4 linked regions of the Rhinolophus ferrumequinum genome follow. The protein of the gene in region 3 interacts with the protein of the main gene of each other region in a pairwise test. Links are inferred from orthologs where the notes say so. Each region holds a gene or a part of one and is shown on either strand. Other genes may lie near its edges. The genes, in order: BEND3, NUTM1, MORN4 and RANBP3.

What was found.
Region 1: the proteins of MORN4 (region 3) and BEND3 interact in binary tests that used the Homo sapiens proteins (3 or more experiments, as listed by UniProt). The two-hybrid records come from large-scale screens. The link is inferred for Rhinolophus ferrumequinum from reciprocal best matches to the Homo sapiens genes MORN4 and BEND3.
Region 2: the proteins of MORN4 (region 3) and NUTM1 interact in binary tests that used the Homo sapiens proteins (3 or more experiments, as listed by UniProt). The two-hybrid records come from large-scale screens. The link is inferred for Rhinolophus ferrumequinum from reciprocal best matches to the Homo sapiens genes MORN4 and NUTM1.
Region 4: the proteins of MORN4 (region 3) and RANBP3 interact in a two-hybrid assay, tested with the Homo sapiens proteins (2 studies listed by BioGRID). The two-hybrid records come from large-scale screens. The link is inferred for Rhinolophus ferrumequinum from reciprocal best matches to the Homo sapiens genes MORN4 and RANBP3.

The regions. Positions count from the first base shown.
Region 1 is NC_046286.1:60,222,842-60,229,691, forward strand, and holds the start of BEND3 (BEN domain-containing protein 3), read right to left. Parts: upstream 3,020-6,850; 5' UTR 2,743-3,019; intron 1-2,742. UniProt on the Homo sapiens protein: Transcriptional repressor which associates with the NoRC (nucleolar remodeling complex) complex and plays a key role in repressing rDNA transcription.
Region 2 is NC_046289.1:70,959,493-70,967,366, reverse strand, and holds the start of NUTM1 (NUT family member 1), read right to left. Parts: upstream 3,005-7,874; 5' UTR 2,990-3,004; coding exon 2,974-2,989; intron 1,270-2,973; coding exon 564-1,269; intron 1-563. Other genes in the region: NOP10 (H/ACA ribonucleoprotein complex subunit 3), read left to right, coding at 4,866-4,919, 5,218-5,358. UniProt on the Homo sapiens protein: Plays a role in the regulation of proliferation. Regulates TERT expression by modulating SP1 binding to TERT promoter binding sites.
Region 3 is NC_046299.1:26,201,563-26,209,512, forward strand, and holds the start of MORN4 (MORN repeat-containing protein 4), read left to right. Parts: upstream 1-4,948; 5' UTR 4,949-5,086; intron 5,087-5,153; exon of another isoform or gene 5,154-5,293; intron 5,294-6,508; 5' UTR 6,509-6,559; intron 6,560-7,950. Other genes in the region: PI4K2A (phosphatidylinositol 4-kinase type 2-alpha), read right to left, coding at 153-587. UniProt on the Homo sapiens protein: Plays a role in promoting axonal degeneration following neuronal injury by toxic insult or trauma.
Region 4 is NC_046301.1:58,230,000-58,236,865, forward strand, and holds the start of RANBP3 (ran-binding protein 3), read left to right. Parts: upstream 1-3,854; 5' UTR 3,855-3,977; coding exon 3,978-3,999; intron 4,000-6,866. UniProt on the Homo sapiens protein: Acts as a cofactor for XPO1/CRM1-mediated nuclear export, perhaps as export complex scaffolding protein. Bound to XPO1/CRM1, stabilizes the XPO1/CRM1-cargo interaction. In the absence of Ran-bound GTP prevents binding of XPO1/CRM1 to the nuclear pore complex.

The sequences.
Region 1 (6,850 bases), on a different chromosome or scaffold from region 3:
ACCCCTGACCCCAAGCCTCCATCCTTTTATTTACTAGCTCCATGCTCAAACCAACAGCCTCTTGCATACAAGAAAAGACCATTAAGTGATGTTCAACTGAGCAACCAATACCTTTATAGATACTGATGCAACTGTGTTTCACTGGCCAATGATAACTGAAAATCAGACAAGAGGAAAGGTGGTCCTTGGTAGAACAAAACACTAAGAGGGCTGAATTTAAATACCTATGTTTCAAGTTGGATGAAAAATGGAGGAAGGGCATGTTACCAGGAGAGCTGCTGAGAACAACTCAGCTCTAAAGCAACAGTTTGTAAAAGTCTGGTCATTCGGGGATGAACATGCCAGGCAGTAACCATCACTCGGAGGGAACCAGCACGTCTCCTGTGTGACACACCGAAGGCTTGGTGCCAGCCAGCACGGAGAGCTCTTAGCTTGGCATGTGGGGGTCATGTGTGGCAGCTACCGTGTTTCCCCAAAAATAAGACCTGCTTTTATATTAATTTTTGCTCCAAAAGACGCATTAGGGCTTATGTTCAGCGGATGTTATCCTGAAAAATCATAGTAGGGCTTATTTTCCGGTGAGGTCTTATTTTGTGGGAAACACGGTAGTTCCAGAAACCACAAGGGCTCTGGGCTGAAATAATAATGTTGAAAGAGATACTGGAGCATCAGAAGGGGGAGAAGAGCAATTGTCCAATCTGGAGGGGAAAAGACACAGCAAGAGCAAGGTGATGTTCACAAAGCACATTAAAATATCCATGTTTTGGGCATGTGTGCTTTTGGGGACTTTAAATTTTATTTTTTAAATTATATAGTAAAATTCACTCTGGGGGAGAGAGGAATGTACAGTTCTATGAAAGGACACATGTATACATCCCTGTAACCACGAGCGAGAGGAGGCTATAAAAAAGTTGTCACCCCAAAGATTAATTCTATACATAATTCCCCAAACTTATTTAGCCAATAAAGGGCACAATGAAAAATAAGGGTAGCAACCATAATCACCACTTGTCATCAAAATTAAGTGCCAGAAAAAAATGCTACACCCCAACCTCCCCTACACTAACACTAAATTGCTTTTGCTGGTTGGCTGGAAACCTTCATGTGTTTCTACATTATAAAATTTACATACCCCCAAACTTTTCATCTCTGGTAACAACCACATTCAGTGGCGGGAGTTTTTGAGTGTCAGATTTTAAAGGTTCTGGTTTGATCTGTGAATTTCAGTTCAAGGGCCATGCAGACGGGTTAACCCACCAGCAGGTTCAGGCTGCACTGACCCCACCTTTCTTCTGGAATCCAAGAGGCTCTCCATTCATTTAGCAAATACTTATTGAGCACCTACTAAGTTAGTGACTGGGGATGTAAAGCGGTTAAGACACAAAATCTTGTGCAAAACTCAGTACTGAGAGTGAAGGAGGCAGACAGGGTCCTATATGGTGATACAAAACCATAAACTAGGGACAGTAGGCTAAAAAAATAAACTCGGGGGTGGGGTTAGGGGTGTGGACACCAAAAGAACCTCCTCCATCTCCTCAAGCTTACATACAGAGCTAGCAAGAGCTCACTTCCTTGCCTCAGTTTCCTGCAGCTGTAGTGTTCTGGCACCTTACGTGTTGTGTAGTGACACGTTAAGCATTCAAGTTACTTTAAATAGGTGAAATTGACCATTTACGACTCTCAAGTGCTTAGCCCTATTTTGCGCACTCTTGTCTGGTTAGCGTTGGTGTGTAAAATTCTTCCAGACAAGCCACCTGAGCAATCAAACTCTTACCTCTGAAAAACCACCTTGTGTCTCGGTACACAAGTCCTTACAGGAAGGACTGCACAACTCACCGATAAGGCGAGGGCAAAGTCTGCGTGGGAAATCACGTTTGCAATAGAGAGGGAAAGGCAGGCAGGAGCAACGGCGAGCGCCCCAGGCTCCAGTCCGCGGCCGGACGGGAAGGCCTTGCGCCAGCCGGGGTGCACACCCAAGGCCGGGCCCGCCTCCAGCTCCCGGGCAGCGGGAACCGCGAACCGCGCCGTGGACGGTCGGGACGGAGCGCTGCGCCCCCTGGCGGCGGGGCCCATCTCCGTCCGCTCCCGGCCGCCGCCGCCGCCGCCGCCGCCGCCGCCGCCGCGGGCCGGCCTCGCTCCATTTACAGACTCCCGAAGCAGCGTCCTTCCGAGCGGCGGCTCCTCCGGCCTCCCGCGCCCCGCTCGGCATCTCGCTCCAGTCCCCGCCCCCTGCTCCGCTCTGACACCCCCTTCTACACGCCGAGCCGTCCCCCGCTGCAGCCTGGCCCAGCGCGAGCGCCGAGCCCCCGCGGGCTCCGCAGAGCCTTTCCGGCGGCGCCGGCCGCTCCATCGCGGCGCCCGGCGGGGGTGCTGGGCCGGCGTGCGGCGCGAGTGGGGCGCGCAGCGGCGCCAGCACGGACCGTTCCACTCCGCGTTCCCCCCGCCCCCGCGCGGCGCGCGTGCTCCCGGGGACGCCATGGAGCCGCGGCGTTCCGAGCGGCACAAAGGGGCGCGCGGCACAATGGGCGCGGTGAGCCCGTGGGCGCCGAGCGCCCGCTCCGGCGGCTCGGCCCTGCGTGGGGGTGGGCGCTCCTCCCGGCGGGCGCGCTTAGGGCAGCCCCCCTTTTCGTCCCCTCCCCTGCTCCCGCCCCCACCCCGGCATGGATGTTGCAGCCACTCTCCCGTCCGTCTGCCCTGGAGCCGCCGCCACCGCGCAGCCGGCTTGATCCGCCCCGCACTTACCTGGGACACGAGTTCTGTACTTTGCTGAGCGGGCCCGCGCCGAGTTTGGGCGCCACGTGGGGTGCGGGGGAGCGCAGGGCTGAGGAGTGGGGGCCTCGCGCGGAGGGCCTGGCCGGGGCGGCCCGGGGAGTTGCTGGGGGCGGCGGGCGGGCGCCGTGTATTTTCCCCTCTCTTTGTGTGTGTCCGTGCGCTGCGCTCTCGCGTGACGTGACGGGACTCCGTGTGTCATTTCCGCACAAGGACACAGGAGCCCCCGCTGCAGTGGAACCACAACCCCTCCGCCCCCACCCCCGGCCTGCCCCTCCCCCTCAGCGGGGCACACGCGGGACCGGCGGCGGCGTTCGGGCGTGAACGGCCGCGGCGGGGAGCTGGGGCGCGCACTCCAGGGACCCGAGCGGCCCGGCGCGCTCCGCCGGCGCCGCGCTGCTCCACGTGGGCCCGCGCCGGTTGCCCGGGCGGGGGCAGCGGTCGCGTACCCACGACGCGCTGGGGCAGCGCTGGCTAACAATGTCCTCGGCACTCTGTGTGTTCTCCCCCCGCGAGTCATTTCTCTAAAACGTGGTTGCTCAGACCCGAGGAGTTTGACCTGAAAAGCCTCTTTTTCTACTTTTTTTTTCTCCGCGGGACGGCGACTGTGCGGGGCGTTACCTCCCCTAGAGCCAGCGCCAGTCCCGAATTCTTGGCATTTCCGCGGTGCCCTGGCCCCCCCGGGCGGGTGTTCCCGCGCCGAGCTCGGCACAAAGACATCGGGGCGCAGGGACCCCAGTGGCCCCGGCGGAACCGGCATGGAGTCGCGGGCCGCGGGAGAGCGACCCTGGCGCTGGGAAACGCTGGCTCTGGCCACTCCCCCAGCGGAGTGGCCGCCCTCTGTTGTGAGCCTGAGAGCTAAACATCTGCCTTTTACTTGTAACCCTAAGTTTTAAGGTTTGAGGCTGCAGAGCGAGAGATTCAGAAGTGCGCGCGCTCCCAGACCCACATGCCAGACAAACCCACGGGATATCTGCGCCCAGCGCTTAAAATAGAAAAGCACGCGTCACCATTTCAATAAAGGCTGATTCTTTAAACTCCTAACTCCCGGATGGGAGAGTTCGACTTGATAAATATGCAACCTGCCCCTCGAGTATTTTCACAAGTCTCAGAGACTTGAAGGGGTGTGGTGTGTGAGGGTCAAGGAAGCCCAATTCAACAGTTAAACCACGTTTATACTTTAAGCAAATAACGAGAATAAATTTAAAAAAGAAACTTTAATTTGCCGATCGAAGAAAGTATAAGAAGAAAAATGCAAATGATCCCATCTGCTGCTCACAGCTGACTGGCTGCAAGACACGACCATGTGGCCCAGCCCTGTGTGGTCACTGAATAGGTAGAATAGATTTTAAAATAAGGCTTATGCTGGCTCCTTGCTGCCCAGTCGCGGAGAGGGTTTGATTTAACGTATAGTTTTGGATTACCTTATCCTCCAGAGCACTCCAACTGGGAATTTAGTAATTATTCAAGTTCCTCCCCTTCAGGTTTGAAATCCAAAAGCACTGGGTTATTCAAGACCTTTGAAGAACTACGTGGAACATTCTCGAACTGTATTTGGTAGCCCATTTTGAGAAGTCAGTACTAATGGCTATGCAAAATTAGCAAGCTGCCAGGAGAACGGAGCCCTGCACCGAGGGAGTGGTTTTATAAAAGAATCTATACGTGCTCAGTGTCATTCAAAACAGGATGATGAAAAGAATGGGGCTGAGATAGCAAGCAGCCCTTCAAATTCAAAAGACTTGAGTCCCCTATCTACATTTAAAATAGGGTGGAGGGAGGAAGGGAGGAGGACCGCTTGGGGGTGAATGGTTAATTTATACATTCCCAGAAGACAGAATGGAGGCACTTGGATTTCTGCCGGGAACTTGACTTTTACACTCGCACATTAAATAACACATGATATAGTAGTACATCGCTTGACTTATACAGATACAGCAGTCTCACCTTCAATTTAATATGACAGCCATAATTAGAATTTAAAAAGTATAAGTTGCATTTCATTCGTTCAGTTTTCTAAGGTTTCCCAGTAGGAGAGTTAGGAAGAGTTAAGACGTATTTGAGCTCACTTAGCATTTTTAAAGTGGATGCAAAGTGGTTTAAAAATGTAAAATGACCGTGTTAAATTTTTATAAAAGGAACTAGATGAAATGTGTGTTGTGAAGCATTTATCTTTAGTCAGTCGTTCCAGTGACAACTCAGGTATTTAAGGATAAATTAAATAATAAAAGACAATAGGAATTAAATAATAGAAATTAACATTTCTTTGTTCATACTGTTTGAAACCAAAGATTTTTCTCAAATACAATAATTTTACTAAAAAATAGCATCTAAGGCAAACAAGATGCTTAATTGACATAACTGACTTCAAAACATCTCTCAAGAAATTACAAAGTGACCTTGAGAATTATTGTAAATATGTATCCTAATTTACACAACTGGATCAATCTACTTAACAAAGCAAGCTGTTTATTCCAAATAAATTATTAACAGAAATAGAAATCATTGCTATCTAAGAAAGGAAACTACCTACCTTCAAATGATTTTGTATATTATGAGTTTCTTTTTTTAATGAGCTAAAAAACAGAATGCAACTGAGTAAATTTGAAGAATTGGCTTTATTAAGCAATTCATGAATTGGGCAGGGCCCCCATCTAGCAACTAAAAAGGCGCTCCAGGGGTTGTACAAAACTGGAAGGATTTTATAGGAAGAAGGGTGGGATAAGGAAACTATTAACAAAAGAAAAGAAAGGATTATTTTTTAGGCCAGGACATCTTTGGGGGGAGGGGAATGGGAAAGGTTTTTATCATGCAAATTGCCTCTTACCTTACTGGTGCTTGACCAGAAAATTCCAGACTGGTTGTTTAAGATTATATTTCTGGGAAAGGTTGAAACTGTAAATAGATCAGATATTAAATCTAGGTTTCGTGTCATGGGCTTTTAGCACAAGTGATGCCATTTTAGGCCTGTGGTTTTTGTCTTAACAGGAGGAAGGGAAAATAGTACATGAAGGTGTAACCCCCTGCATTGGAATAGTTGTATTTGCAGTTGTATTTTGGAGTCTTAAAAATGAATAGTTCTGAAAGTGCTATTGGCTAATAGTAATGCCTTATGGAAAAAATATGAATAAACATGGAGTAAGATGAGGAGAGGAATGAGGAAGGGAAAACACAATTTCTGTCCAACCCAATGCTAAAAAGTCAGGAGGAATGATAGACCAGGCTTCGTAAGGATGTGCAGAAAGACCTGAAAAAAACACCAACCTGAGTTTTAGAGGTCTGCTTGATTGGAAATTTCTTAATTAGAAATGCATTTTCCAAGATTTCAAATTAGAGCTGCTGCAACTGATCTAATGAACTCATTTCCAATTTTACCTGAGTAAATGCAGCTTGTTGGTCATATAAAGGAATCCTATAAAACACTAAAAACTCGAATGCAAAAAGAGTGGGATATAATGTAAATATATATCATTAAAAGTGGCAGACAGACATTAGGTTTCAGATTATCTTTTAACTGTTCCTCTAAAGGTTTTATCACTGCTAAAATATATAGTTGCCAAGACAATATTTACTAGGGCTTTTTTTTTCTTCATTAGTTAAGTCTTAAAACAACGCAACAGATTTCACTGTGATTTGTGAGACATTTTCACTTTGTTTCTTGCACGCTGGGTGCATAATTTTGCCAAGTCTTCAACTTCAAACAAAGTTGCTGGCACATCCAGATTCTGTAACTACTCAAAACAGAAGTAAGAGGGGAAAAAAAGGAGGGGCGGAGAGGCATGTATTAACTTTATTAAAACAACTTATAGAAAGACACACCTTGCTAAATAACTTGCAAAACTGACTTTTGGTTGGAAAGTTGGGCTCGGGGAGTTGAGTTTGACCCATTGTGTGCTGTCGGGGGGAAACAACTACCTTCAGTGGAATTCGGAACAGGTAAATGACACAAGGCGAAAAATGAGGTTTAGAATGAAAAGCTGCAGAGAATTTGTGATGGGCAGTTTTTCTTATGTGTAGAAGAACTATTGAATAATTTATAGCAGCTTGAGATGTGATGCACCCAACACAGCCATTAGGATCTGGT
Region 2 (7,874 bases), on a different chromosome or scaffold from region 3:
GGTGCTGCCTAGGCCCTTCACCTCAGCAAGCTTTACCACCTCCCCATTTTGATTTGAATTCTCCTGAATAAAATAGGGAGCGGTGGAGGAGGTGACGCACAGAAGGTCCTTTGTCTGGTCCCGCACCATCCTCTCCCACAGGAATGAGTCACACCTTATCCTGGCCCGTTAGAATGGCTCAACTCAATGTCCGAAGGTGTTAAAATAGAATGAGAGGACCTGGCACTTAGTGTCAAAGACCCAAGTTCCAACCACTGCTCCTCACTGTATGGTAGGAAACCTCTCTGAGCTTCAGTCTTCTCATCTATAAATGAGGACTAAATGCTTGCCTGAACTCACAGGGTTGTGAGCATCACTTGAGAGCACACAACTGAAGGCTTGCTAAAAACTGAAAAGGCTTATCGTCATCATCATCATCATCATGCTTTTGGTACTCAGAGCATCTCTCCATCACCCTCATGACCTGCCCTTGAATATTCCTATAGCGTAACCTCTTCTGTCCATCCCAAAGCCCTCCTTATTGAAAAGCCCTAGGATAATTAATCTCAGGTCTCCCCACTTACATAAGAAAGCAGGAAAGAGCTTCTGCATCAGGACTCTGGGATAAGTGCATCCGGGCCAAGGCTTTGTAGCACTGCCAGCGTCGGAAGTTCTCATAAACACCCTTGGAGGTACAGGAGAGGTCACCCAGTGAGGGCTGGGATTGGGTGGCTGGCAGACCTCCTCCAGTTGCCCCATGTGGCACAGGCCAAGCGTTTTCCGGGCACACAGGGAGAGCCAGTTGGGAAGCTGACGGTGGAGTCTGAGCAGGAAGGCCTAGGAGGCCCTCCTGGCTCACTCCAACAGCCTTAGTAGCTAGAAAGGTCTTCATGTTAGAAGTTGTCACAAACTGAGGAGGAGGACCTTCGAGGCCCCCAGAGGGAGCACCTGAGGCAATCCAACTGAGGGCAGTCTGAGTAAGGATCAAGTTCTGAGTTTGAGAGGCCTCAGCTGGCCCCCCTTCTGTCTTGATTTTGACAATGACTTTGCCAGCTCCAGCCCCACTGTGGCCAGGGCCCCCATCCTCTGTCACCAACATTGGGCTAGGGAAAGCGGAGAGCATCAAAGAGTTGCCTGGAGGGAAAGCTGAAGGCATAGGGGGCTGTGCAGGCAGCTCCCAGGGTGGTTGGTCTGGTGGGCCAGGAGCAGGTGGGGGAAAGGGAAGTGCCATGAAGGGAGATAGGGCGGTGCCAGGTATCATGGTCATATCTGGTCCAGGCAATGGAGATGCTGTTGAGACAAAGAAAAAGAGGGAGTGCAGTAGGAGAAAAGCAGACCAGAAGCTACATTATCAGAGTTGCACTTCAGTTACTGAAAAATCAGAGCTCTGATTCTCAACAGGTAAGGAAGGGTATATATGGAGGGGAACGTCTGTAGTTTGCAAGTGATTTTGATGTTCCTTACTCCCGGTTGGAAATCATTGCACTAGAGAAGTAGCAGTGACTCTTGGACCCATGAGCTCATACTCCATAACACGTCCCACAGAGGATACAGGTACATCTGGAATATATAGTCATACAAATTCCAAACCCATTCAAACCACCTGAACTCTGCTCCCAGCTGGTCTGTGGTCCTTGCCACCACTCACAGAAGTGCTGTTCCCAGGAGAGGGTGTGTGGATCAGATGTTTGGTTCTCAGAAATTTTGTTATATAATAGCTAAAAATGACTAGAGATAAGGGCCAGGATATGGACAAGGGGAGGGCTGTGTGGGGAGGGAGGTTTCCAGAGCTTTAAGTAGCTGGTGGACACGTTAAAATTTGGCATTGCAGACTATCTGTGGTCCTCCAGCTTGGATTCCCTATCAGAAATATAGGATCCACCAAGAACAAGGCACTGACAATGAAGTCTGAAACAGTACCTGCTAAGAAGGAGCTTATGTGGGCTCTTGTCAGAGACCGAGGATAAATACATAAAACGTTACTTAATCAGGACATGTGTCTCCTAGGACTTTTTATAATAATAATAGATCATCTGCCTAATTTCATGCTACTCTCCTCCCCCTCTTATAAAGACTATTCCCCTGGCAAACTAACAACACTCAGCTTCCGCTCCCTGACCATGAAAGAGACACGGAATATGAGCAAATGTGTCATCTCGACAACAGAGCAGAGGGCCAGGAGTATTCCATGAAGTTCGGATGCAATGAAATAGGACTGAAGGTGTGAGCCTCACAAAAAAATAGAAAAACTGAGAGCTTCTCAGGGAAGCCCCAGCTCTCATTCTGGCTGGAGTGATCCACCTCCTCTAGCTCTGGGGGAATCAAGGAGAACTCCTCCCTGAACTGAAAGAGAAGCCACCTCTGGGGCTGGAAGGAGCCATGAGGCTCTGAGCAGAGGCACTTATAGTACCTTCCAGTCTAGCTATCAGGAAGGCATTTCTCCACAGACTTGGCAACAGATAACCCCACTGAACAGCTTCTCCAGCTAAGACCTCCACCCCACCCTGACCCCCCAATACATCGAGAGTGACCCCAGCACAATTCTCTCAGGGGAAAATTCTAGAACAAGCTCCAATTACCAAAAGAAGACCCAGAATCCTGGGACTTCCACTTGAACCCTCTCTGTGCCACACATACCACTGCCCCTGCCACACAAACACATGTTGAACGGGGTCCCTCTTCCAGAGAAGCAAGTTGCTAACTGCCATCCCTTCTCTATACTCAGCACTTTCCTCTGAGGTACTTAGATCTGCATCCCAGAGGGCCCTCTTACTTCCCCAACCCCCAGTCTTTTTTTTCCCAACCCCCAGTCTTCATGGCACAAACTTATTTCCCAGCCTCTCCAAGTGTGATTGTTTTTTTGGTAGCATCTATATTCTCATGTCCCTCTAGGTCAGTACAAAGACCCCTATTGTCCCCAGGTAAAGTGTCAAATTTGAATCCCCAAGGATGTGGCAGGGGGTGGGGTACCCTCTGCATCACCTGCAGACTTACCTCCATCTGAAGTCATCCTCTCAGGTTTGGACACTAGCTGTGGCTGTCTGGAAGCCTCCAGAATGAGACAGTCAGGTTGAGGACCCAGAGAGTAACCTGGCTCCAGTAGATACACAGGGATCCAAGGAGGAGAGGATAAAGATCAGATCAAAACAGAACTGGAATCTAGAACTCAAGGAAGTCTGCAGTGGGGGAGGGGATAGGGGAATGTGGGGCTGGGGTAGGGAGATATTCGACAGCAGGCTCTGGTAAATTGGCAGTAACCAGGAATTCCCACCAAACCAGAGTTTGGCAACACAATTGTTGTCTACCTCTTTAGGGCAATTTGTAAATTTTCAGATTCCCAACATTATAGTTTTATTAGTACATCTCCGTTCCCTACACAATTCTTCACCAGTATATTTAGTTTTGTGCCCTTAAATCCCACCCAGTTCTGTAACTGACTTCCTATTAATAGAAGGTTGTGGCAGACCCTTGATTTAATTCAATGTTCGCTGTATTTTCTGAACCAAATTCAGAACACACAGTCTGTGTACTTAAGGATCTGGAGAACGGAGTGCTTGAAATTAGGATTGTCTGGGAAGACCCAGGGTGTTTGGTTGCTGTATGCATATCATTTCCTTGGAAAGCTGTCCTGCAGTTCCCAAATAGTCCACCATCAGCTCTGCAGTCCACAGAAGGTTTAGCCTTAACCCTTGGTTGAAAAGCCCCATTCTATCAAAGACAGGCATTCAACCTAAAATTTCAAGGCCAAAAAGTCCTTTTGTTTGTTAAATTATTTTTGTTTAAAAATTTTATTAAATAATTTTAATTTTTAAAGTGGGAACTACATTAGCATGGGTCTAAAGTAAAACTATACAAAACAGTGTACAGCGAGTCTCCCTCTCCCACTCTTTTCCCCTGGAACCAAGTTCTTTGTTCCCAAAGAAACCAATATTATGTTCCTGTGAATCCTTGCAGAGATATTTTATGCACTGCAAGTAAACACGTATTATCATTACGTTTTACGTTTCTTTAAAAAAATTTTTTTTTCAGGTTTCCTGGTTATAACATTAATGTATATTCCAATGTTTTTGACATTATAAATAATACTGCAAAGGTCATCTTTGTAATATTACCTGGGCTCCAGTTTTCATTTCTTTAAACTAGAGTCCTATAAGGAGAATTTCTACACGTTCTTTAAAACATTCGAAATAACCCCTAGAAGGTACATCTTATTATGCTATTATTAGCTACTCACCACTATAAGCGCTGAGTTTGTGGTAGAGAGACCTGAGTTTGAATCTTGGTTCGATCACTAAAACATACTTCACCAGTTTCATAAAACAACTTCACGCTCTCTTTGCTGTGCAGAATATTAAATACCCATCATGCACTCTTTACCGCCAATATTTTGAAATAGGGCCGGAGAACCGGATAGAAAAAGAGGGGAGGGAAGAAAAACCTTCCCTCTTCCATAAGGTAAAGGGGCTCTGAATCCTGGAGCTCTTTGTTTCTCAACGCACTATAAATCCACTGCCCCTGATATGGGTGTGCATCTTGCGATAAAGACAGGATTCTATTCACTAATGTTCAACTCATATCCATCCCTATCCCCCTCTAACGCCTAGCAGTGTCTGGCACACAGTGGGCACCCTCCATGTGTTTTAGAAGGCCTACAAAGTTGCAACTGGGCACCAAAGTCTACAAGGTTGCAACTGGATTGCAACTGGGCCAAGTCCTGCACTAGTGCGCCCCCTTCTGCCCAGCTGGAAAAAAGCCTAAAATGAACTACATTTCCCAGCATACCTTGAGAGAGACACTTCCGGCTACACAGGAAGGAAGTTGGCAAACACGAGAGACTGTTAGACTGAGCTGCTGACGGAATTCGAGCTTCTGTCTTCATCGTGGTCATGTTTCTCCAGTATTACCTCAATGAACAGGGAGAGCGGGTCTATACCCTGAAGGTAAGAAAAGGAAACATGTAAATAGGCATGGCGAAAAGTGGAGGTGGGTGGAGCGGTTGAGACCAGCCGCGGAGTTGCCTAGCTGAGTGGGGGGAGTTGGAAAGCCCAGAAGCCAGGCGTGGTAAGGTAGTAGCTGGAGTGTATGAGTGCTACTTTGACCGTCGCGTCTTCTGTCTTCCTTATGATCATTTTCCGCGCGTCCCCCTCCCCATCCCAGCCTCCATCTCCTTTATGACGCCAGTGATTGAGTTTTCTCACCACACCTGTACTGAGATTATGTTCTCTCTTCCTGGAGCAGAAGTTTGACCCCACGGGACAACAGACCTGCTCGGCCCATCCTGCTCGGTTCTCCCCAGACGACAAATACTCTCGACACCGAATCACCATCAAGAAACGTTTCAAGGTGCTGATGACCCAGCAACCGCGCCCTGTCCTCTGAGGGTCCCTTAATTTCATGCCGCCTGCTACCCCTCTGAGACTTTCCGAACCCAAGCGCTGCAATCTGTGAGCCTTGATGCCTTGTTACCACCCTTTCTTTTTGGAATCTGGTGTCAACATTACCTTTGATCATGTTTGTGCGAGGCAATCATGGTAGCATACACCTTAAAGGGAACAAGTTTGAATCTTCTTTTCCTGTTTTGACATACTGTCTGGTTATTAAAATGATTTGAAAGAGCTCTTATTTTGTATGTTGTGGGAAGAAGGACGTGGTTTAAAAAAACAAAAAACGAAGAGAGATGGGAGGGAAGTGTACCCAGGGGCACAACAATACTTGGAAGAAAATCCTAAGTCGTTGCTGTAGCAGGAGTAGTGCTGTATTAGTGACAGGAGGGTGTTGGGGAAGGGAAAGAAAGGTTGAGAAAGATTTACATAATTGTCAGCATTTACAGAAAAATACCCCTGTTATCATTCCCCTTGAAGTGACATTTTGACTTAAAATGGAAGAGTTGCTTGAAAATAATAGCAACCATATTGTAGAGGGAAAGCAGTGAATTGGAAGTCAGGAGACCAAGATGCGCTCCTCTCTGCATAACTTTAAGAAAGTCACTTAACCTATTTAGTCCCAATTTTTTCTTCATTTCTAAGTTCTCTTCCAACTCTATAACAGATTGGGTTCAGTGGCGGATATATATCCACAGTGTTGTTCCACCATTATGAATATGAATGCCTCTGTGCATATTTACTGCTCCTCTGGAAATAGTCGCAGTCTTTTAATTCTCTCCATCAAGGAATTGTCTTACATACACCTAACTTTATATTCTCTCTGGGAGCTAGCTGCTATGTGGAACTCTACGTGGATCTGAATTTAAAAGATGAGGTATGAGAGATTGAAGTGGAGATTTTGTTTTTCAAGCTATCGTTGGTGGTTAATAACAAAAGAAACCTGGGAGATTTTTAAGGATTTGAGCTTCTGTCAAAGGGCAACCATAAATTTTTAATTCAATTGCTTTATATTAGAGGGATGATGAGGCAAAATATTGTATACTGGCTGGCATTCAAGAAATGCTAGCTTGCTTTTACCTCACCTTGTCAAGTTAATCCGCTCATGTCCCCAATCATCTCATTCATGGCTTTTGACATTGGATTTGAATGTTTGCTTAATGCCACAGATTTAAGAATTGCTTTGTGGAGATTGTGTTCTAATTTTACAATCTTCTTTTTCTACTGCATCAAGATTCTAGACTCCAGAAGCAGATGTAACTTATCTCAGCACAAATTTGATTTATCCAGACTGGCCCTGCAAAGGGATAGATATGTTTCTCTTGGAATCTGATGTCTGACCATCCCAGCAGAGAAGTTCAGGATAGTTGTTGACTGCTGAGAAAAAAAGAAAAAATATCTAAACTTGGGTCACAGTTAATAGAAGACATGATTTTCAAGTCAATTATTTACTTAAACATATGGGAATGGTGAAACAAAATATTTGTTTCCTGTCAATAATTTTTTATTTCTTAGCCTAGTCACTTACAGGTTCTTAGCATTGGATCTGAGGGATTTTAAAGACTTTTCTTGCCCCATTAAGGGGATAATGATTGAAGAAATATTAAAAATTCTGCAAATGGCTAGAAAAAGCAGCTGCTGAGCAGATGTTTCCTGGCATTGTTGTCAGTTTTGAGTCAAACTCATAAAAATTCAGAAGAAAAAGAAAAAGGATCTGCTCTGGAAGTTTCTTAAGCACCAAAATCAATTAATCAAATCTGCTACCAGTATTTTTTAATGTTGACAGTAATTCTGTCCTTATAATTTACTCCTCCTCCCCAAAGAAAGATTAGCTTTGTTCCATGCTACATTCTGTGTAGACTGAAATGAGAAGACTAACATGGAAATATTCTGAATTGAATTTGAAAAGAAAGGCAAACTGGTTTGAATATACCAAGGATTTTTCCTTGGTACCCTAGGTATTAACATTTGAGACGTGCTCAGAAATGGGAGTCTTAAGAGTTATACTATTAGGTATTAGGTAGTATATATAAGTTAATGAAAACACTCTGTGTATGAAGCAAAATTGGTTGTAGAAAGCCAGCATTTCTTTGTAAGGGGAAAGTCTTTGAGATTTGAATGAACAGGCCTGCCTGAGGAAAAAAACATCCCTCAGGGAGGTGACTTTCTTGCTGCCTCAAGGTAGGAAACGGAGCCTTATTGGGCGAGGGTCTGAGTTCTTTAGGATGGAAACTTATTTTCTCCTGAAATTAATATCTCCACGCAATTACCGTAAACTTACACTGTAAGAAAAACAACAACAACAAACTGAGCCTGAATTAATAGGCACAAGCATTATAAAGCACCTAGTTTTGAGGGGGTTTACATTTTAAGTGGAGATTATTTCTCATTTTGTTATGTGGATCTTTTTAACCAGAGTGTGGACTTTGTGTGTCATTTGATAAAAGGGAATTTCCTGGTTCAGGTCTTAAACACAGTTCTGATTTTATTACTAAGGATGATGCTTAAAACATT
Region 3 (7,950 bases):
TCCGTGGCATTCCAAAATCCTGCCAAGGGGCTCCGCACTGTGAAGTTTATCCCTTTTGCAACCTTTCTTTCAACGCCCCCGGCCTTCTCCCTCTGGCTGTGCGAAACCCTAAACTCCCCTGAACAGGCCCACCCTCCCCACCCCGCTCTCACCCCCTGAGGGTCCTTGACGAAGTAGCTTCCGCTGGAGCCCTGGTAGATGCGCTCCGGGAAGATACAGCGCTCGATGGCCAGCTCTGCCTGCCGCACCACCGCCTCGAACTCGGGGTCCTCCGGAAACTCGTTCCGCTCGCTGTGGGCCTGCGCGGCATGCGCCGCCGCCGCGGCCTGAGCGGCCAGGGCTTGGGCCTGCGCCGCCACACTTTGGGTCTGACCCTGGGCCGCCGCGCCCCGGGCCCGATCCAGCAGTGGCTGCCGCTCCCGGTCGTGGCCTGGCGAGCCCGGCGGAGACGGGACCAGGCCGGCCGCCGCCGCCACTCGGACCGCGCCCCCCGGCACCTGCGGAAAGTGAGCTCCAGAGCCGGACGGGAAGGTGTAGTCCGGGGGTTGGGCCCGCTCGGGGGACACTAGTGGGCTCGTCTCGTCCATCCCTCAGGCCGCCGGCTCCGGGACCCGGCGCGCTGCATACAGCTGAGATCCCGTCCGGGACCAATCCGCAATACCTCCAAACCCCACCGGGCCAACCAGCTCGCGGTGCCTCTTTGGCCCCGCCCCTACCTACCCTGTTTACTTGGCGACGCGTAGGCACGACCCCTCGCGCGCTAACACTAGCCAATCAGAACCAGCGCCTACGCAATCCCGTCCTCCGCATATTTTGCTCGCCACCTTCTGTGAGGACTGCGCATGCTCTAGGAGACAAACTTGGGTCAGACGAGCCCTCAGTTCTTACCAGCCCCGCCCCGCCCGCGCCTTAGCTTTCAATCGCTGACTTATCTATGAGAGTTTTCAAAGTAGCCTACTTAATCAGTCACTAATTATTGCGTGCCTGCTACGAACTAGCTGTAAGACTGGAAAAATCTAATCTTTGTATCTGCATTTATTCAATCATGCAGTCATTAAATATTTATTGAGCACCTACTATGTTTTAGGTGCTGGAGAGGCAGCAGTGAAGCAAACAAACAAAAATCCCTGCTCTACCTAAATAAAAAGGTCTGTTGTTGTTTTTTTAAAATCCCAGCCCTCATGCAGCTTACACAGTGCCTGGCCCAAAGCTCAATGTTTGTTAATTGAGGAAATACATGGTCCTATCAGACAAAAATTCCATGAGGTAAGAGTCCATGACTATTTTATTTATCACTGTAAATCCTCCGTGTCTAGGCACAGTAGATGCTCAGTACATGGTTATCAGTGAAAAAGAGAAGGATGATATAGTCCCTGCCCTCAAGCTGAAGCCACACAGCTCTCTGACGCAGTAGGAGAAAAAGAGCCAACAATAAGTGCTGAAAACTCCATAATAGGAGTTCAGCAATTTGGAGGTAGGCTGGAGAGTCAGTAAAGGCCTTAAGTGGGGCATGTGCTATGATCTAACTGTTAAAGGAAGAATGTAATTAAATCACTGGGGGAAAAAGGGGAGAAAAGAGGGACTCACAGATATTTGAGTTTGAACCCTGGCTTCACATTTATTAGTTATGAGTTATTTAACTCTCTAAGCCGCAGCTTCCTCATCTATAAAATGGGAATAATCATCTCCTCTTCAATTGATTAAATAAGAAGCAAGATAAATATGTAAAGAACTTATAGCACTTCGTACCTAAAAAGCACTCAACAAATGATAGATTTTTATCACTGCTGAGGTTATTGTTGATGCTTTTGGTTTTGTGCTTAAAGTAATCAGCATGGATTTTCACAATTGGTGACCAGCCACATAGTAAACAATATTTCATAATCATTCTGGAGAACAGAGTGAAGAAATAAAATGGTGTCACTATAGTCAAGCCGCTAAATTACTAAAATCAAGTTGGTTGAGGCATGAGAACATTAGTCTATTCTTGTTTGAACTAGCCTGGGAACTTAAATTTTGAACTTTCTAGTCCTGTATCAATGCCTGGATATACATCAGTTCATGGACATACACCAAACCTCCAGATAACGCCTGAAAGACTCACATATCTAGACCACCTGACATCTATTATCCAGACCATGGATGTGACAAGACCTCTTGGCACCCATCTTCCAGATCACATGGCATCCATCATCCAGATCTCGTGATAGCTGACTGATAACCACCCTGGGCCAATCCTAGGGCTAAGAATACAGAACTGATTATTCTTAAGAATGCACTTTTTACTATAAGAACTCTTAACTTTCCTTTTTTTCTTCAGAATACTTCTGGGTTTTTGCCTAGTTGTGTTTTGGGTTTGTAAACCCTAAGACCCTTAAATAAATCATTATCATTTATTTCTAGCCAAAGCCTCCAGACTCTTTTTTAGTTTGTTCAACAATTCTTTCTTGAATCAAATTATTGGCAGAGCTAACTAGAAGTACTGAATTGTTTAGTTATATTATGGCAATGTCTTAAACATTTTCTTGCCAAATAAACCATTCTAGCAAATGGCCATACAGATGGTTCAATTACCCCCTTTCAGATACAAGACATGTAGTTCCCTTTCCTACCCAAACGCCAAATAATTAAGTAATATTTGCCTTTTGTGTCCTAGGGGCCACAGCCACAGAGATGATCTCCTGTATTAATTATCTTATTTAGCCCCTAAGCTGCAAATTATGGTCAAGGAAAGCTCCAAGATTTAGAGTTCTCCCTTGAATTCTGAGTTTTCTCTATGGAAAACCCTTATAATATGTTTCAGCATCTACTTCTCAGAACTTGACTTTCCTTTTACCGAAAAGAGTGTCAATACATTCCCTATTACCTATGAAGACTTAGCACTTACCAAATGATAAGCATGTGCCAGATATTATTTTAAGTGCATTACATGGAGTAAGTTATATAACTAGCATTACAGCCCCTGTGATGTTGGAAACTGAATAAAATAACTTGCTTATAGTCATGCAGCTGGGAAGTGGCAGAGCTGGATCCAAATTCAAGCAGACTAGTTCCACACTATATTGTTTCTTATTAAATACCTCTACAAAATATGTCTCATATTTATCCCCCTTCTTTCCATCTTCACTGATGCCACATTCCAGGATGTCTTAGTTATGTTATTACAATAGCTTCTGAATTTGTTTTCTGCTTCCAATTTCTTTATTATTATTATTATTAGTTGCAGGTGTACAAAACAATGTAATAGTTAAGACATTTATACCCCTCACAAAGTGATAACACCGCACCCCCTCCAATTTCTTTCTGATCATCTCTGTGTATCACTGCCAGAATAATTTTATTAAAACACTGGTTTCACTGTGTCACTGCTCTGGTCAAGAAACTACATTTTTATTGTGGCAAAATATACATAATATTTATCATTTTACCCATTCGTAAGTGTACAATTCAGTAACATTAAATCCATTCATAATGCTGTGTAACCATTACTACTGTCTCTACCCCAAACTTTCTCATCAAGACAATAAAAACTCTGTATTCATTAAACAATAACTCTATCTTCCTATAGCACTTGGTAACCTCTATTCTACTGGTTGGTGCAAAAGTAATTGTGGTTTAAAAGGTTAAAAATAATTGCAAAAACTGCAATTACTTTTGCACCAACCTAATACTTTCTGTGAATTTGCCTATTCAAGAAACTACATTTTGCAAACCATACCCTCTCTCTAATTTTTCAGGTTTCTCTATAACTTGACCACAACTTTATTTCTTCATATTTTCTAATACAGACTCTCCAATCTGATTTCTTAACATTCCATTCTCTCAACTGCTGTAATTATATCAATAGTCAATACCACACAATTTTATCATGTTTAACCATTGGGTGTTAGAGCTGGATTGAATTTTATAGGTCTTCTAGTCCAATCTTATTTTACAGGCTTGTGAGTTTAATAACTCGCTTGAAGCTACACCCAGTTGGTGGCAGGGATTTGAACACAGAATCCAAGTCTTTTAAAACTGTTTAGTGAGCCCTTGCAATTTCTCAGACATAGTACTGAGCATTTGACATTGTATTCTCAAACAAGTCCTAGGCTGCCTTTATCATCATCGTTATAATTTTCCATCGTACAAATGAAGAAAAATCTCACTTCAGAGAAACAATTTGCTTACTCTCTTCATGCGTTTGCCTTCTTTTAATAGTTAAATATAGTCTAGGATTTTTCCACGTGCATGCATCTTTTCTTCTCCACACTTGGGCAGTAAGTCACATGAGGACAGTGATCATGTCTTTTCTAGACTGGCAGAACCTAGCAGCACGCTGCATTCCCATTGTTCAGTAAATAAACATATAGATAAACGGATTGGCGTGCGCAGTATTTTGGAGGATTTGCTCCAATCTTGGCACGGTATTTTAAAGACAAAGGACCTGGGTAACGACATCGACAACACAAATCCCTACAAAGAATGCAAACGTGTCCTGATATCACAGTGCTGGCATAGAGTCGACACACATTGAACTACAGCTGCCCTGTCCAACGCGCTGCAATTTACAAAGCTGCACCTCAAAAGCCGTGTTTAGGTTCTGTCCTTTAACTCCGCGGCCGGGCCATTTACAACCATGGAGATCCGCGCAGGATCGAAGCCGCTTGAGTTGGTGGTCACTGTTGTGTCTGACGCTGGTTTGGTTTGGTTCGGTTTGGTTTTCACATTTTGGCTAGGCTGTTGCGGGGTAGGCGAGACCCGAGTTCTCTCATCAGGATTGCCAAGGAGGAACCCGGAGTTCAGCCCCACCCCTCTTTCGGATATTTGAGAGGGGTTCTCGAGACATTTCGCCCCGCACAAAGATGGCGCCGAATCCAGGCTGAGCCAATGGAGAATGGCGTTGCTCCCGGTTGCCTAGGTAACAGCCAATGGGCAGCGGGAATTGTGCCCAGTGCGGCTACCCGGGATGGCGGCGTCAAGTGGGGCAGGCACTGGTGGAGGTGGCGGAGAGGCAGGTGGCAGGGGCGAACCCCGCGGAGCGGAGGTCCGGGCTGCTGGAGCCCCGGGTCGGGGCGTGACCGTCATCCAGAAAGGCGGAGCCCAGGTTGGCTGGCAGTGCGGGTTGGAAGGGGCTGGGACAGTGTGATCGGTGAGGAAGGGACCGAGGAACCCAGCCCTAGATGACATGGGCTGGAGAGCGCGGCTCCGTGCTCGACGCGCTGACCGGAGGGCGGCTGCCCCGAAGTCCCCAAACCGGGCCTCGCGTCTCCACCGCTGGGTGCCGAAGCCCAGGAGCGCCCGTGGCACGGGGGTTAGCGAGCGGAGTGGTTGGGGGCTGTGTCTGGAGCAGATGGCAGACCTTGTGCGAGCAGAAGATCCGGCCCGGGAGGGAAAGCAGACCCGGGTAGAGGGCAAGAGCAATGCTGGAAGGCACGAATGGGTGGTTGAAGGAAAGGGGAAGTGGACCAGAAAGTGTTGCCTTGTTGCCATCTAGGGCTTTGTTTGCTCTGGGCCCGCCTCTCTCACACTCCCGTGGGGAGATGTCCCCACACATCAAGTCTTGGGGAATGGGATGCCTCAGTTAGTTGATGGTAGCATCCCAGCATGGTGGCATCACCGAAATGCTTAGGTATCAGCAGCAGTAACTCGGCTATATTACTGTAGTATTTTCCTTAACCATGGCATTTTCCTTAACCATGAACTAGAATGGTATCCTGGCAGTCCCCATTACTCCCGAGTGTTTGTTTGTTTGTTTGTTTTTTACTTTCTTTCTGGTGTCAGGATTTTCTTCTCAGTTTCTTCAATCTAACTGTCCCACAGTCTTCATAAATAAGAACTTTAGTAGTGATACATTTAGTTTACTTTTCTAATAGAAGGGAGACTTACAGTAAAAGAGACGTACAGACTTATAAAAACAGTTAATTCAAGCTCATGTAAAACACTTTAAAAAGAACGTTTGACTAGACTGAGAAACAACGACTTGAACGGGAGTGGGGCGGAGGGGGCGGAAGAAAGGGGGGGGAGAAAAAGAACGTTTGGCTTTTTCTTCTGGGTTTCTTCCAAACCTAATCTTTGTTCATCAAAACCTTCATTTTCTTGTCTTTAGGAGTCTGAAAGCCTAAAAACTGCTTTCTTTATAACTGAAGGAACTTTGGCAAGACTGTTATACTTTGGGAGGGGTGGTTTGGGAGGGGGTGGCCAGTGTTGAAGGTATATGTGGGTAAAGTGGCTGCCCCCAAACAATATTCTCAAACTGAAAATTTGTTCCCCTTTATGTGAATTTTTTTTTTTTTAATCCTGAACTGGGGCACAGGTTACTATGAAAGCATACGTATTCTTTTAACAAGTTTGATTTCTAAAATTTAAAAAAAGACGAACGGAATGGAAACAAAAGTTACCATTCCTGCCTCCAACTTCTATCTGGAAATGTCTGGGTCAGGAGAAAAGAAAACTAGCAGGGATATAGTCTGTTGTGCAGACTAATAGTGTATTAGTTTACACGGACAAAATACTAATTTCCTTTCAGATAGATGTTTGGATTGATCCTTTGCAACCCATCCGGCAAGAGAGCAGAAGGGTGGGTATTTGTTTAGAAGAAGCATGAACTATCTTGACTCTGTATAGCTGAAGCCTAAACTCATAGGCCCTCCATTTTATTTAAAAAGATTTTTTGAATAACTGATACACGTACTGATTTGCTAAAGTATTGGGTTTTCAATCTTCATCAGCACTAACTATACTTTTTAAGCTAGATTTGTCTCAATGACCATGGTGACTGGTGAAATTTCTTTCTGGGTCAGTGGCTATGCAGCTGACCATTAATTAGCATGGCTGATTACAGAAGTCATAAATGAAAAATCCTGACACTATTCCAGGCAGTGACAATATCCATTATTTGGACATAGGTAGAAGTTTCTAGTCAAGTGTGTTCAACCATGGCTTGAAACTCATGGAGTCAACATGTGTTCCCTTTAATTAGCACTTCTGATTATATTCTTGGGAATGGACATCACTTTGACAGGCAACTGTTGAAGGGAGTTTGCTCTACCTCCCTAGATCAAAAAGGAATGGAAATTTGTAGTACAGTATGGACTTTTGAAAACAAATAGGAGAGGATGGTGGCAGGGTTAGGTTGAGAGATGATATTCCAGTTCCTATTGCTGTATGACAAATTACCCCAAACTTAGCTGCTTAAAACAACCATATGTTGCTCACAGATACCTCAGATGTGATCAGGCTTAATGGCTTGCAGAGGGACTGGAGTCATCTGAAGTCTCCTTTACTCACACCTGATGCCTGGGCTAAGATGATTCAAAGATGAGACCTGCCAACCGGCTCACCAATACCTGTGGCTGTCGGTGTGGCTCAGCTTCCTCATAGCTTGGTAGCCTCAGGGTAGTCAGACTTCTTATGTGGTGGCTCAGGTCTCCCAGCACAAGTGTACCAGTGAGCAAGATGGAAGTTGCGTGACCTTTAATGATCTAATTTCAGAATACACCATCACTTCCATCATGTTCTATTGGTCAAAACAATCATAAGATCATAAGCCTACACAGATTCAAAGGAAAGGAGTTAGAGTCCACTTTTGGTGGGGCAATGGCAGGGTCTAATTGTAGAAGAATGTGTAAGACAGGAGGTATGTTTGCAAACATCTTTAGAAAATACAGTCTGTCACATTTGATTATAAGAACATAATCTTTCAGGTTTCATTGGCTTCCTTGAAATAGTTAGGGTTATTAAAGAACAAAAATTCAACCGAGTAAATTTAAATATCTCATTGGCTTTATGAATGATTCCTGAATTGGGCAGCATCCCATCTAGTAAAAATAGAAAGGTATTTCCGAGGAGTTGTACAAACTGAAAGGTTTTTATAGGCAGAAAGAGTGTGGGGCAAAAGAATGGATTATTTCAGGCAAGTTTACCTTCCCTTAGGGGAAGGTCAGGGGTCTGTCTTATCAAGCAGATTAC
Region 4 (6,866 bases), on a different chromosome or scaffold from region 3:
CACGAGAGGAAGATGAGAACTGAATTACAGCTCTGAAGGCCCTTTTTCCTGGAGCCTGACTGCAGAAGTCATTTGCCACCTTGGCTGTGGAAAAGAAAGTTCACAGTTCTTAAAGCTCAGCTCGGGCTCAGGCGGACCTCAGACTTGTCTTCTGGTAAACCAACAAGGAAGCAGCAGGCAGCAGAGAGGCCAATGAGCCGTTTAAGGTAAACCATTTAGATCCCTCCGCTTCCCACTTGCGATCCTGGTACTAGGACAAACTCCAGACTCCTCGCTGTGGCCTACAAGACCCTGCCCACCCCTTCCTGACCGCATCTCCTCACTCTGCCCTGGCTACACTGAGCTCCTCCAGCTAACCAACCTGGTTCCTGCCCCAGGACCTTTGCACTCACTGTTCTGTCTGGAAAATTTCTCCTGCAGATCTTCTACTAAAATGTCACCACCCAAGGGAACTTCCCTGACCAGCCAATCAAAAGTGTCCCCTTTCTGTCACTGTCACACTAATGCTGTTTTCTTTGTAACACTAGTCACTATCTCAAATTACTTTGCTTACCTGGCTATTGTCAGTCTCCCCACAGCAGAATGCAAAGCTCTGGGAAGGCTGTCTTGTTCATCCTGGGCCCCAACCTGTAAAGCAGTTCCTGATGCAGAGCAGGTCTGCTCTGGATATATTGCTGCGTAACAAATACCCCCCCAAACTTAGTGGCTTATAACAGCAGCCATCATTTATTTTTCATGGTCTCTGTGGGTGAGGAAAGGGATGTACTAGGCTGGGCAGTTCTCTCGGGATTTGTGGTCTCAGCTTCCTTACGGCATGGCAGCCTCAGGACAGTTGGACTGCTTACACGACAGCTGAAGGATTTAAGAGCACGTGTTCCAGCAAAGCAGGCGGAAGTTACATCCTCTGTCCCTGTTATGACCTCACCTTGTAGGTTAGTGTCATTTCTCCAGTACTGTTATTGATTCTCCAGTTCCGTAACAAGCACAGCCTCAAAGGGAAGGGAACAGAGACCTCACCTCCTGCTGGGAAGTGAGTCAAAGAATTTGGGGCCATATTTTAAAACCACCACAGCAGGTGATCAATAAATATTTGCTTAATAAATAAATATTGACTAATTTGTTGCAGACCAGATTTAAAAAGCAAAGGAGGCCTAAGGGGCCCAATGTTGGCAGCTGCTGGCACTGTGACGAGAATTGTGAAACCAGTGGAAATTCAGTTGGCCTGCTAGCATCCCTTAATGTGCCTTGAAAAACCACAACTGGGTTATATTTAGCAAGTGATGACATGTTGCTGGGAGTTCCCCAAAATGTGGGATGACTGTGGCGTATGAAATGACTTTAGGAGACATGTAGACATGGCATTAAATGACACCAAATCACATGGATTATAGTTATCCCATTTTCAATTCTCTTTCACGCCTTCTCATCATGTCAAGGAGAAAGTTCAGTTGACTGCTAATATGCCTAAATCCCTCTCTAATACTTTTGCTAATCTCTCTTTACATCAAGGAAAAAGCAGGCTTGGGGCTCAGCACCTTGGCAGATACAGTATCTACCCAGAATTTAAAAACCTTGTTTTGTTTTCCTGTTTATTTCTACAATGATTTGTTATACATAGCTTTGTGGTTTCCTATTTTTTGTGTGTGGTTTTCTATTTTAAATGGTGACATACAGTATCTATTTAATGTAAATTTAAACCCATAAAAAGGCAAAAATATTAAGTTCATTCAAGGTCAGAGGGTTCAGATTCAGCAAAGGCCAAGGAGACTTACCCAAGAGAAGTTACATGTAATGAAATATAATGAATATAATGAAACCAAGAAGTTAGAAATGAGAAAACCTGAGTCCACGCGCTGCGGGCCACCAGATGGACTTGACGATCCCCGGGGACCTTTCCAGCATTGACCTTCTAGCTATTCCTGGAGAATTTCTAACTCAAGGTCTGTGGATTGTGCTTCTAGCCTGGTGGGAAAATCTAGGGTAGCAGAATTCGTGTGTCTATTAAATAAAGTTGAGGGGAATTTTTAAGAGTTATTAAATACACCCCCATCCCCAACAATACCAAGAAAATCAGCACTACAAACCAGGGTTCAATTTATTGTTTTATTGTCTTCTAGACTTAAGAGATAGGAGAATATCAATAAGATTTATAATAAACTATACACACAGAGACATACATACATACATACATACTGCACACACATTCTCCCTCAGAGCAGTTGTTTAACACTTACCACCCCCCCACTGATTGTACAGATCTCTACAGGACAACAATGTAGATACATGTGTCCTAGATTAGAGGTTGGCAAACTTCTATAAAGAGCCAGACAATAAAATTTTAAGTTTTGTTGGCCAGACAGAGTCTATTCAAAGGACTTAGCTTTGCTGTCGTCGCTGGAATCGGCCACACATAATACATAAATTAAGTATGGCTGTTTTCAAATAAAACTTTATGGACACTGCAATTTAAATTTCATGCGATTTTCACATGTTATGAGATATTACTCTTCTTTCTTTTCCAACAATTAAAAATACCATTCTTCGTTCACAAGCCAGATGTGTCCCATAAGCTCTAGGACCTCCTGGTTTAGATCACTCTGGAGGAGGCGTGGAACGGGGATTCAAACCTAAACGAGACATGGGACACAGTTCCAAGCAGAGGGATCAACGAAGGCCAAGATCCCGAGGCTGGAAGGACTTTGGTGTGCTCCAAGGATGGAAAGACCCATGTGGCTGAACCGCAATGAGCAAAGGGAAGCACGGGGGCAAAGCACAGCGAGGGGGCTGTGTAGCCTCGATAAGAGGTTTAGGATTGATTCTTAGCAGAAAGCTCCTTGGAGGCCTTAAGGAAAGATGTGCCCCTTCATCTAATTTTCATTTTTTAAAGATTCCTCTGCGTGCTGCTGTGTGCGGAACAGAGACTGGACCTCTGGAAGAATGAAAGGAAGGAGAGCAGGGAGAGAGGGAGCCATCCAATCTTCCCGGAGAAAGATGAGGATGGTCTGGCCTGGGGTGAAGACAGTCCAGCTGGTGAACGGGTGGATCTGGGCTGGATTGTGGAGATGGGGCAGAGTCCACAGGGTGTTCTGAGAGAGTCATAGCAGGTTGAGTCAAGAAGGAGTCCAGGGTGTCCAACATTCTCACATCCGCCTGTGGGATTGATCAGCCCATTTTACAGAAAAACTGGAGGCCCTGCTCCGCGGCAGGCGTTGTTCCCTTCAGAGCGTCAGGGTCTGGAGATCCTGGAACTCCCATTCTGGTGGCTGGGGAGAGACCCTTGCGCTGGGTCTCCCTTCCCTGTGCCCCCCGACCCCCACTGACACACACCCCTTTGGTCAGTAATGTTTAACCTCTGACCTCTGCTACCCCCCCAACCACTCCCACCTCCCCCATGTGGCCTCAAGAAAGCATTTGCCCAATGTACTTGCCCCTTAGAAGGGGAAGCTTAAGCCTGGGGTGACAGGGAGCCCCAAAACTGTCCAGCAGGCTTGCCCCTCTGGCCTCCAGGTTGCGCGTGTGGAAAGTACCCCCACCACAGACCCAGGGATTTACCTAGAAAAAGGCCTCGATCGCAGCACCCTAGATGGCTCACTCTCCCACCACGGGGATCCCCCGGTAAACAAGCAAAAAGCAGAGGCGTCAAGACCCAGTGCCCGCCGTGCACGCTCACAGAACGCTCGTTCCGTATTGCCCGCGACGCGCGGGAGGGCCACTGCGCATGCGTCCTGCCCTGTCCATACCCCCTCGATCGGCGGGAAAAGGAGGCGGGGACGGTTAGGGCGCAGGCGCGTGCTCACAGCTGGGCCAGGCCAGCCCGCGATCCGGAGCTCGACTCCGCCCCCGACTCAGCACGCAGGCGCGAGCTGCCCGCCTCGCTCGGAGTCGGCTAGGGAAGTGCGCACGCGCGGGAGTTTCTGGCAGAAAGCAGGCGAGCCCGGGCCGGCGCGGGGCCTTGTGGGAGGGCTTAAGGAAGTAAAATGGCGGACCTGGCGAACGAAGGTAGGGGAGGCGCCGTCGGGGGCCAGCTGGCGGTCAGGGAACGGGCGGAGGGAGGTCCAGGGACCACAGGTCCGACGGGTGAGCACCCCAGAGTGCTGGGAACCCATCTTCTCTGGGATAGTGGCGCAGCGGGCCTCGCAGCCGCCCCCCATTGCGTCCCTCCAGGCCGGGCTCACCAGCCCGGCCCATCACTCCCGGCAGCCCCGACCCTGCCACAGTCCGGCCAGAGAGCCGGGGAGGCCGCTGGGGCCGCGGCTCTGAGGCCCTTCCGCCTTGCGGACCAGGCCGTAGGCTGAAGGGGGTGGGAGGCGCGGCGCCAGCGCCTCGGCCTCGGATGTAAATAGACTTCTGGGCCTGGTGGTGGGCCCTGCACGCCACCCTCCCTCCCCGCCCCCTCGTTCCCAGGGACCGGGGCTTTCCCCCTTTCCTGGCCTGGCTGCGGAGCAGGCCCACCCGCTAGTCCTGGGGGTTCTCATCCTCCGCGGGCCTGCCCAACTCCAAAACAGAGGACGCCAGGTCTGTTTTCACCCCCCACCCCGAACTCGGCCCCCAGTTCTCCCGGTTCCGTCGTGGTGACCTGAGAGTCGCGCCTCGCCTCCTTGCATTTTAGGCCCGGCCGCAGGATGTGGGCCGCTGAAAGCCCTGATTTCTCTTTGGCCCTTTTTGCTGCACTTTCAGAGAGAGACACACACAGAAACTGTGTGATTCCCTCCTCTGCGGAGCGCTGACATCCCACCTGAGCGTTTTTGACAAGGTTCCAGTTGGAATCCCCCATAGAAAGCACTCCATAAGCCGATGTCTGCTTAAATCAACAGTGGTGTTGGTATCGCTGTAGCTTCAGGACTTCCGAGGCCTATTTTTAGTTCCCTCCGTTTCTAGGTGCACAGCGACCGGCGCGCTATTTCCCTGCCTGGTCCTGATTCCCTCCCTATACCATGCTCCCAGCTATCCAAGGGTATCCTGAGGTTTCCAAACTGAACTGCAGGAATGCATGAATGATAGTGATAAATGCTCACCCTGGTGGAGCATTTGGGATGGTACCAGATATTGTTCAAGTCTTGATCACGGTATGTTACCTTGGTTAATACTCATCCTCAGAAACTCCATAAAGTAGGTAGGTAGTGTAGTTCCGTGCACTTGGTGAGGACACTGAGTGACTAAGTTACTTGTCCAAGGCAGGCCACACAGTAAGGCACAGGGATGTGAATCAATGAGGTCTGGCTTCAGAACCTCCTACCCCCTTAATCTTACAAAAGATATGCGCATAAAATATGTCCTTTTATGCGCATATCTGTTGTAAGATAAGGGAGCCCATAGAAGATTGAGCATTCCATTCATAAGATCCATTTAAAGGCCAAAGAGGGACTGGACGAATGGGAATCAGTATGATATAACTGTACATTTACATCTTCGGCCCATTCAATTTCTTGATCTCAAGACTCGCATATCCAGCATCATATTCAGCATCTCCATTTGGATGTCTAATAGGCCTGTCAAACAAAATCCCTGTCTTTCCTCCAGAACCTGTCCATTCCACAGTGTTTCCCCCAGTGTAGTAAATGGCAAGTCCGTTCTTTGAATCAGGCCAACACCTTGAAGTCACCCTTGACTCCTCTCTTTCTCTTACACACCACAGCAAATCTTGTCAGTTCTTCCTTCAAAACATTTCCAGAGGGTGACCACTTACTACCAACACTGCTGCCCCTTGGGCTTCCCTTCCACCCTTACCCATCTGTCAATTGCTCAACCCAAAAACCAGAGTGGCCCCCCCATGCCTCCCTGGCCTCTTTTCCCACCACTCTCTCGCTGACTCTGGCTTTCTCACTGTCTCTTGAGTGGTCTCTATACTCCCTCCTTTATGCCTTTGGACCTGCTGGTTCCTCTGCCTGAATCAGTTTTACCACATTTATCCCCATGGCCCACTCCTTCACTTTTTAATATTTAATAATATTACTTTATTATTGAGACTTTCTCTGGCCACCTATTTTAAATTGTATCCACATTCCCTATCCCCTTTATCCTACTTTATTTTATTCCACAGCACTTATCACCATTTGGCATGCTAAGTTTACTTGTTTGTTCAACTGCTACCCTTCTGTTAGAATACAAGCTCCATGAAGGCAAAACCTTCTGTCTGTCATCACTGATGGGATATCCCTTATACCTAAACAGTTCCTGGCACAGAATAAGTATCCAAGAGATGTTTGTCGAATGAATGAATGAATGAATGAATGAATGAATGAATGAATGAATTCATCAGTGAGGACCTTTATTGTGAGGTATACTTTGAGCATAAAGGGAAAATTACAGATTCCTATTTTCCAGGGATACCATTTCTAGCATATACGTTGACACATGAGCTGTCAATTGTAAATTGCATAGTCGAACAGTAAGTGTAAAATAGAGAATGGAATGTTTTGTACTTAAAATTTTTGCCTAATACAGGCCACACTCACCTACCGTGTTTCCCTGAAAATAAGACCTAACTGGAAAATAAGCCCTAGCATGATTTTTCAGGATGACATCCCCTGAACATAAGCCCTAATGCATCTTTTGGAGCAAAAAGTAATATAAGATCCGGTCTTATTTTCAGGGAAACACGGTAGTACTTTGCCTTTGATACTAGTTCTGTCATAGTTGTCCTCAGGAAATCAACTCTGTTTATGCTTCACATACCCCTGCCGTCCTTTAATTGGTCGTTTCTTGACTCCATTTGTGGATTTGGCTTGGATGTTTAATTTCTTATCCACTGTGTAAGCTAAGATTCCTTGCCGTGCATTTTGAAGCTTTAGGGACTGCCCCATCAGTGTGCTTTCCCTCTTGCTATTTAAGCTCCAGACGCCCTCTTGGCTTCTGTCTTTCCAGAG